2 linked regions of the Rattus norvegicus genome follow. The protein of the gene in region 2 interacts with the protein of the main gene of each other region in a biochemical or structural test. Links are inferred from orthologs where the notes say so. Each region holds a gene or a part of one and is shown on either strand. Other genes may lie near its edges.

Region 1 (4,573 bases), about 11 Mb from region 2:
ACACCTCGCTACCTTAAACCAGCCATTCTTCCTACTATAACCTGTGGTAAACCTGAGAGCAAAACTCCATTCTGCCTCCCTCAGCTACAATTCCAGCAGCCTAACCTAGATAGCAGGACTAGAAAAGGACACTCCTAACCGCACTCAGATCTTCCTCTGATCCTGGACCTCACAACATGTTCCTGAGGGAAGAATGCTTTTGCTGAAAGGATATAAATGCCAGCCAGATGACTGCTGTCTGGCCAAGCTCCTCCCTCTGACTACAGGATCCCCGTCTTCGTATTAAAAACCTCTATCTGCTAGAATCTGTCCTTGGAATTACTGTGGGCTCCTACAAAACTAGGTGTCCTCGATGCCTTCCTATTTTTTAAGGGGTAGGGCAGGTGCCTTTAGCCTTAAGGTGAGGGCCATCTGAGAGCTTTGGGGTTTTTGTAGTCCACAAAAACACTTTGGTTTTATGTTAAAAAAAAGAATGGGGGGAGGGGAACTATAATCAACTTTAATATATAAAAGGAAAAGTTGCCAGAGTTTAAACTGTGTGTTTTTATCGACAAGTAACCTTAAAAAACCAACTGTAACATGTCGTCCTCGTGTTCAATGCCATGGATGGCAGCCGATGTAGGCCAGCTGCTGAGCATCAGCCTTGTTTGTTCCCTAACGCTCTGTGCTAAAACCTCTAGGCCATGGTGCTAATGTGTGAAGTGGTCGGCCTTTGGGACGTGGTTAGTCCCACCAAAGTAGATGTGGATCAGTGCCCTAGTAAAGGGGACCCTCAAAGAGCTCCTGCCCCACTCTCCATGTGCTAATACACCGAGAAAGGCCACGGGAAACTAGCCCTGACTTGGACTTTCGATGGCTTGCCTGTGGTTTTGTGTGACAGCCAGAAAACTGCATGTTCTGCTGGTAACAGCTGGGGCTGGTCAGAATCTAGAGTTCGAGAACACGTCCTGTGTAGAACAGGAAGCTGACCCTTACAAATCATCCTTATGAAAAGCACACAGAAAAGAGGCTCCCTACTGTCACTCTGTCCAGCCAGCCAGGCAAACCCCAGCAGCTCAGTTTGGTTGCCCTGCTAGTTCCCAATACCCAGGAGAGCCCACTTACCTTCCACACAGCAGCAGCGGATTCTGCCTGACCATGCAGGTCCCGGGCATCATTTAAGTCCTTCCTCATGATTTCCACAGAGCCCTTGTTCTCCTGGGAGAGAGAAGCTGGTTGGAGGCTGGGAAGGATTTGGACACCCAGAACAGCAGTCTGGCCACCGGAACTACTCGCCCGCTCTCTGCTGGAAAATGGCTGCTTTCTAAAAAGGTCTCCTGTGCTTCCCGCCTCATCAGAACTAGGTGTGCAGCAGACAATTCAAGATTGCCTATATGCTTCCAGGTTTTCAGGTAGGTCCCCTTTGGGGTCGGCTTGATTTAAGACAGTGGCTTTCCTGACTTCTCTGTGTCCTTCTTGGACTCTGTGGAGATTGCTGTCTTAGTAAGGAGACAACAAACTGTTCTCCAGAGGACCTACCCCAGTCTGGGGCCGAGATTAACACTGGCCTCCATCTCAAAAGTGTTCTTCACAACCTATTCCATAGACTCATGGTGCATCATTCCAGAACATAGGGCTAACAGCACCCTCAGACACACTAAGCTACTAGTTCCTCCTGTCCGACAGGGACCACTGCTTTTCTACCTCGATACTCAGAAAGGCTTTGGGTTTTTTTTGAGTTATCATCCCTCTCTGGATCAGTGATGATACTCCAGATCCCTGCGACCCAGCTTCAAACACATTCTAATGGCTGGTTTCTGCCCAGTGGCAGGTACCACATGCAATGACCAAGAGAGCACAGCAGAGAAGGTTCCAGAATGAGGTGGACCGACAGCCCCTCAAAGGGCTGCAAATAGTAACTAGCAGATAGAAGCCCACTCTCAGGTCTCCACAAGCAAGTGGATGGGCGGGGCTTGCCCCGATGAGGTCACACCCAGGTTGGATGAAGAGGCCTTGAGGAATGGGATTGGGACTTGAGAAGAATCGAGAAAGATCAAAGTCTAATGGTTGTATAGAGATAAGGCACAGCTAGCCCACAGACCTGGGATGAAAAGGGGATAGAAAAGCATGCTCTAGAGATAATAGATCGAGGAAAACAGCAGGGTCCGGGAGACCGATAATAGAGATGGAGGAAGGGAGAATTCACGGACTCCAGGATTCAAGAGTCCTAGGCATGGCAGCGTCCCCGGGGAACGGAGGGTGCTGAGCACCCGAGGGATGCGGGAGAGGAGAAAGGGAAGAGGAGGTCAGCACACTGATCAAGAGACTGACTCCAGGTAGGGCACAAAGATTGACAGTGTGCGGGGCCGCCTCGCGCACCTTGCCACGCAGCGCCTTCCTCCAACGCGGTTCCCACTCAGGCGGCTCCGGACCGGCGGCCATGCGGCAAGCAGAGCACAGCGGATCTCCGTCGGCACGGCATAGCAGCTGCAACGCGGCCTCGCTAGCAGGGCCATCGCGCGCCGGCGCCGCGGCCGCCTCCTCGAGCGCCAAGAGGCGGCGGCTCAGTGGTGGGCGGCTGGGCTCTACCGCGCGCTGCCAGCAGTCATCGGCACACTCGGGGCATGGGAAGGGCCCGTCCTCCTCGGCCCAGAAGCGCACCACGCACGCCCGGCAGAAACGATGGCCGCAGTCAGCGCGCACCGGTTCGCGGGGCGCGCGCTGACACAAGGCGCAGATGGCCTCAGCGGGGCCCGCGGGGAGCGCCAGGGCTGCGGGCGGCGGCGCCGACGAGGACGCGGGCAGAGAGGGCGCAGAAGGGCCGAGGACCGGCCAGAGAGCAAGGCCGACGAGCCTCAGCCGACGACTCAGCCCCAGACTGCGCCAACGCCGGGCACGCGCGCGCGGCGGGGCGGGGTCCTGGCTGCCGTGCGCTCTGACGTCCAGGTCCTGGCAGTTGCGCGTTCTTCCATCCAGGTCCTGGCAGCTGTGCTCTCTCCATTCAGATCCTGGTAGTCGCTCGTGGCCCTGCCCAAGTCTGAGCTGCTGCGCTGTCTTCCACCCTGGTTCTGGTAGCTGCTCACCTCTTTGTCCTGATGGTGTCAGTCGTGGACTCCAAACCCAGATCCTCACAAGCATACTCTCTTGTGTTCTGTGAGATTACTCATACTGCAGAGTACTGTCCCAACATCATAGATAATTGCCCATCTCCCACAGATAATTTGGGAGGTGGTCTGTTAGGAAAGGCTTTTCTAGGGTGATTGACTTATTCTATACCTTTAGCCCTGAAGCTAGATAAAACAGAAGTAGACCGATGCCTATGTAGTTTAAGCAAGAGTATGACCAAATTAAAGAACATAGCGAGCGACACAGAATGAAGGAAGGAATGCTCAATGTGCACACAGAATAGCAGCACATTTTGCAGGAAAGCACGCTAAAGCATATTGTATTAATGTAGGTGTAGTCAGCTATGCACAATTTATGACTCTTCAAATTGAGATGGAAAATATACTGTGAATGTGATTGCAATGGTTTGAATATGCTTGGCCCAGGGATTGGTACTATTAGGAGGTGTGGTCTTGTTGGAGGAAGTGTGGCACTGTGGGGATGGGGCTTTGAGACCTTCCTCCCAACTGCCTCGGAAACAGTCTTATGGCTGCCTTGGATCAAAGATGTAGAACTCTCAGCTCCTTCTCCAGCACCATGTCTGTCTAGATGCTGTCATGCTTCCTGCCTTGATGATAATGGACTGAACCTCTGAACATGTAAGCCAGCCCCGATATAATATCTTTTATAAGAGCTACATTGCCCATAGTGTCTCTTCACAGTAATGAAACCCTAAGCCAGTGACGTTGCCACTTATATGTTCCAAACACTGTGACAGCGGCCACATCTACACTGAAGCTATGCAGCACTTTTCTGGTCATTATTTCCTAAACAACAGGACGAAGATTTGCAGAGTATTCACATCCTGGTAAGCATCATAAGTCATCTAGAAAAATTAAATAAAAGGATGCATGTAAATATTATGTTTTAGCTGGGTATAATGGTACATGTTTTTAATCACAGCATTCAGGAAATAGAGCTGGCAAATCTCTGTGAGTTCCAGGCCAGCCAGAGCTATATAGCAAGACCCTGTCTCCAAAGAATGTGTGGGTTTGTGTGTCTCTGTGTGTGTGTGTGAAAGAGAGAATGTGTGTGTGTGTGTGTGTGCGTGTGTGTGTGTGTATGAGAATGTGTATGTGTGTATGTGTGAGAGAGAGAATGTTTATGTGTCTGTGTGATGTGGTGTGTGTATGAGAAACATTTTATCTGAGGGATTTGAGTGTTCTTAAATTGTAGTATCCTTGGGGGTTTAGAGCCAACCTCTTCAACAGATATGACATGTGTGCATATATTAATTAACTTAAATTAATTAAATTAAAAATCAGTTGTAATTAGTCACTTTCACACTCATCTAACTGACCGTGGCCATATCCAACATGGTTCTGAAATTGTTACTGAGGTCTAGTGCTCAAACCCAGGGCTTTATACACCCTCGACAATGACCGTACTTACAATCCCAGCAATTGGGAGGTGGAGGCAGGGAAACTGA
Region 2 (4,496 bases):
GCTGGGTTTCATATAACCCAAGCTGACTTTGCACTCCTGATCCTGTGCCACCAGTGCCACCAGGCCCAGCAAATAACACAAGGTCTTTTTTTTTTTTTTTTTTTTTTTTTTTTTGGAAATATGGACCGCTTCACGAATTCATGTGTCATCCTAGCGCAGGGACAATGCTAATCTTCTCTGTATCGTTCCAATTTTAGTATATGTGCTGCTGAAGCGAGCACATAACACGAGGTCCTTGATGCCATTTCATTACTCTGAGTTCTTGGTGAACCAGAAGGGCCTTAGCTCCCCATCTACCGTTCCGTGCCTGCAATGTGGCATTCTTTAGTCCAGGGATTCACTTGTTTCTTCAACCGACTTAATGTTTTATCTTCAAAATAATTGTAGCTGAGTTTGCAGAAAATTTAACGTCCCATGGTGGAGGAGGAGAATCAAGCAAGAGCCATTACAAACAGGAGTCTTTCTGACACACAGGAATAGGAATATCAAGAAGACTCACAGGGTTGCATTGTGGTCAACACCAAAAGTCACAGGAGATGAGGACAGGGAGATGTGGGTAGGAGCTGGGTACAAAGAGCAGGCAGAGCCTTGAAGTTATTATTTCAATGTCTTTCCTGAGAGTTAGCAGCCACTGGTGGGGTCTGAACAGAGGGCTCTGATGGATACTGTGGAAAGATCAGCTCTGAAAGGGTTCTCTAAAGTCAAAAAGGTGGAAGCCATTATAGAATGTGGAGACTGAAGCCCAGGAACTGAAGCAGGGCAGGGAGCCGAGTGGGGAAACTATAGAACCTAAGAAGAAAGTGGGAGGCCATGGACTGGAGAGAAAGGGAGATTGTAGCATCCTGAGTGGGGAGGAGAAAATGCTGTGTGGAAGGACAGACACCAGAGAGATGAGGTCTGCAACTTTGGGTTAGAATTGGGTGCGTGGATGGTGACATTGACAAGAGAGGTTTTGAGAGGGGTAGAGGAGGAAGCTTGACCCTAGTGGCCTCCAGAAAGAAACGATAGAAAAACTACTCCGTGGAACCCAGCTGTGAGCCAGCAGGGGAGAGAGCCAGAGGGATTCCGGGTAGGTGTGGAACGACACTAAACGAAATGAGAAAAATGGCTGTATTACTTGTTCAAAATTAAAGGGAGAAGAACTGTAAGAGATGTAGTTACAAAAGTGGACAAAAGGCCAAGCTTAGGGTGAGGTGGTAGAGCCAAATTCCAGATCCTAAGTTTAGCTCAGCACAGTGCCAGAATGAGTTGGTATGCCGGAAACCAGACACCGCGCCCCGGGAGCCAGGCCTTTGCCCCTGTAGTGCAGGGTCAGCCTAGGTCGGCCACTGAGAGCGGTGCCCAACTGGTCTTGCACATTCACCTGTCTCCGACAGTTCCCTACTGCTGACTGGGCCATACTGGGCTGCCTCCAGAGGCAGTGGAAAGGGGGTCGACAAAAGGGAGATCGCGGACTAGGGTGATGGCTTTGGGAACCCAGAAAAAGGGCACCACCTGCCTCTATTCCCAGCTGGGTGCACCCTCGGCTCACGTCTCAACTTGCCCGCTGCCGGCCCTGCCCCTCCTCGCCCATTGGGTACTCGGAGCCCAGCCCAGCTTGGACCGTAGCATCCAGGGATCGCCCCAGCACCACAAGGCTCGGAAGTACCAAGGACACGGATGGCGACTGTGGGGCCGCGAACCGGGCCGAACTCAGGAGCGGAGGCTCTGGCGCTGGCGGCAGAGCTCCAAGGCGAGGCCACCTGCTCCATCTGCCTAGAGTTTTTCCGGGAACCGGTGTCGGTCGAGTGTGGCCACAGCTTCTGCCGCGCCTGCATCATGCGCTGCTGGGAGCGTCCGGGAGCTGGGACCGGCACGGTGACCCGCACGCTGCCCTGTCCACTGCCCTGCCCTCAGTGCCGCGAGCCCGCTCGCCCCAGCCAGCTGCGACCCAATAGGCAGCTGGCCGCGGTGGCCTCACTCCTCCGGCGCTTCAGCCTACCCCCCACGGTCCCCGGGGAGAGCGGGACCCCAGCGGTGGCTGCCCCGGCGGCGGCTGCGCGTTGTCCGCAGCACGGAGAGCAACTTAAGCTCTACTGCCAAGACGACGGGCGCGCCATTTGTGTGGTGTGCGACCGCGCCCGCGAGCACCGTTCGCACGCCGTGCTGCCGCTGGAGGAGGCAGTGCAGGAGGCCAAGGTGGGTGTAGGATGTCCCGGAGCTCTGGCTCTGCTCCAGCCCTCCCAGCTCTCCTTGCAGACTGCAGGCGGGGTCCTACAGAAGAGCCCCGTTCTCCTTTTTTCTCTTCCTAAACTGTGGTTTCCCCTCATCTCATCTCGTCCCTCAGAGCCTCATGCCTGGCTGCCTGGGAGACGTCCCCAGGGACTTGACATTTTCTGTCTGTCTCCAACCTCTGTGGTAACTCTGCCCAGGAGAAAGTCTCTGTCACGCCCACACATCCCTTCATTCCTGCAGCGTTCCCAGGGGCGTGGCACTACACAAAGTATTAAGCTCAAAGAGGAACATAGCGGGGTGTCTTGGATTAGGTGGTCTGTCGCAAGAGCTGTGAAGCCCGGGGGTTCTGGGCACTTTTGTCCCTCGCTGGGTAGAGGCACAAGAGGCGTGTGCAGCCCCCAGTCTTTGCTGTCCTGTCGTGCTCCAGTCCTCCTACAAGCATGCTTTCTGTTGCTTGAGAGAAGAGCTGAAGATAAGATGGACTGAAGCAATGTGGGAGTCTTGAGTTTGGGCGCAGATCACGTGGCTGATGCCCTTGAGGAAGCGAGACTCCTCCGGCCTTTGGAAATCTCCTGCATTTGCTCTGCACCGATAGGCTTAGTTTGCAAGGCTATGTTCATCCCACAGTCAGAGATGGTATCAATCCGGTCTCCTGCTCCGAGAGCAGAATCTTGGCTTTCTACTGGGCGGCTCTAAGAAGGTACATGATAGAGTACCCAGAATTTTCTGACCACCATGTCTTCCTTCATACCACAGGAGCTGCTGGATTCCAGGATGAAGGCCTTGAAGAAAGTACTGGAAGACTATGAAGCCTTCAGGTCAACAGAGGAGAGGGAGAGCAAGGAGCTTCTAGTGAGTCCAAGTGTGAAAGACATAGGTTGTGGATGCCCATGGCAGAGAGGGAGAGGGAGAGGGGAAGGGGGAAGAGAAGGGGAAGGGGAGAAGGAGGGGGATGCTCTCTGGGGGCCCATTTTCTAAGTCCTTCATATTCAAATAATCTTTAGGGTGCACAGTCATTCCTAACAAACCAGTTAGGACTTGTGGCCGCATCTTGTAATTGAATGCATTAGTATTTCTTCACAGAAACATGTCATGTTAAGTAGGAACACGATAAGGAACCACACATGAGCCTGAGGCATGTTTTGCCACAGAAAAAAAAAGGGGGCGGGGGTGGGGATGTTTTCTTTTCGGAGCTTTAATTTAAGAATTCGAGATTTGGGCCTGGAGAGAAGGTTCATCCGTTAAGAGCACTGACTGCTTTTCCATGGGTCCAAAGTTCAATTCCCAGCAACCACATGGTGGCTCACAATCATCTGTAATGGGATCCGATCCGATGTCCTCTTCTGGTGTGTCTGAAGGCAGCTACAGTGTTAGTATACATAAAGTTAAAGGAAAGGAAAAAAAAAAAATAGAGGTTCCTGGCTGGGCAGTGGTGGCACAGGCCTTTAATCCTAGTACATTGGAGGCGAGGCAGGCAGACCTCTGTGAGTTCCAGGCCAGCTTGGTCTTCAGAGTGAGCTCTAGGACAACCAACACTGCACAGAGAAACCCTTGGTGCTTAAAGGAGAAAACGCTGGTGCTGAGGAGGATCGGAGCTCTTCCTGGTAGAGGACTGTGGCTTGGGGACTTGTTTTGTTTACTATGGACAAACATGAATCACTGTCATTTTCTACCTCACAAATTCAGTTCTTAGCTCAATAAAAGGTGCTAGAAGAATGAAAGGAACCATTGGTGCCTTTTAAGGCAAAGTGATTTGTTTATGAAGCTGGGAATTAGAAAGCCTGGAGAACCGTCTTACTTTAAAAAAAAATCTATTTATTTGTGTTTCTATTGTTGGATGCATGTGCTGCTGTCTGCTTGTAAAGGTCTAAGGGCCATTTTGTGTCAGTTCCTGAACTCAAACTCGAGGTAAATTCTAGGGGTTGAACTGGGTTTATCCAACTAGCTTAAATCTATGGATTGAATTGCCAGACTTAGACCTGTTAAGGTATAGAAGCCCCAAACCCTTATTCTTTAGGTTGGGAAGGAGAAACTATGGAGCTCAGATACCCAAGCTCCTCTCTGGGCTCTTTGTGGTTGTTATTATTGGTGTTTGTCTGCTTGCTTGAGACAAGGTCTCTCTCTATAGTAAAGGACTTGCTACATAGACAAGGCTGGCCTCAAACCTACAGAGATCCACAAACCTCCTTAGTGCTGGATTGTGAGCCACCATGGCTGACTCTTCCCTTACTCTTTTCCATTTTTTTTTAAGGATAAATTTTATGTATAAGAATACACCGTAA

The links.
Region 1: the proteins of Trim7 (region 2) and Rnf187 interact in a test that uses a peptide from one of them, tested with the Homo sapiens proteins (2 studies listed by BioGRID, with this or other methods). The link is inferred for Rattus norvegicus from reciprocal best matches to the Homo sapiens genes TRIM7 and RNF187.

Annotation. Positions count from the first base shown.
Region 1 is NC_086028.1:44,212,155-44,216,727, forward strand, and holds the start of Rnf187 (E3 ubiquitin-protein ligase RNF187), read right to left. Parts: upstream 2,826-4,573; 5' UTR 2,749-2,825; coding exon 2,359-2,748; intron 1,198-2,358; coding exon 1,105-1,197; intron 1-1,104.
Region 2 is NC_086028.1:33,704,986-33,709,481, forward strand, and holds the start of Trim7 (E3 ubiquitin-protein ligase TRIM7), read left to right. Parts: upstream 1-1,628; 5' UTR 1,629-1,659; coding exon 1,660-2,178; intron 2,179-2,970; coding exon 2,971-3,066; intron 3,067-4,496. UniProt on the Homo sapiens protein: E3 ubiquitin-protein ligase that have both tumor-promoting and tumor-suppressing activities and functions in several biological processes including innate immunity, regulation of ferroptosis as well as cell proliferation and migration.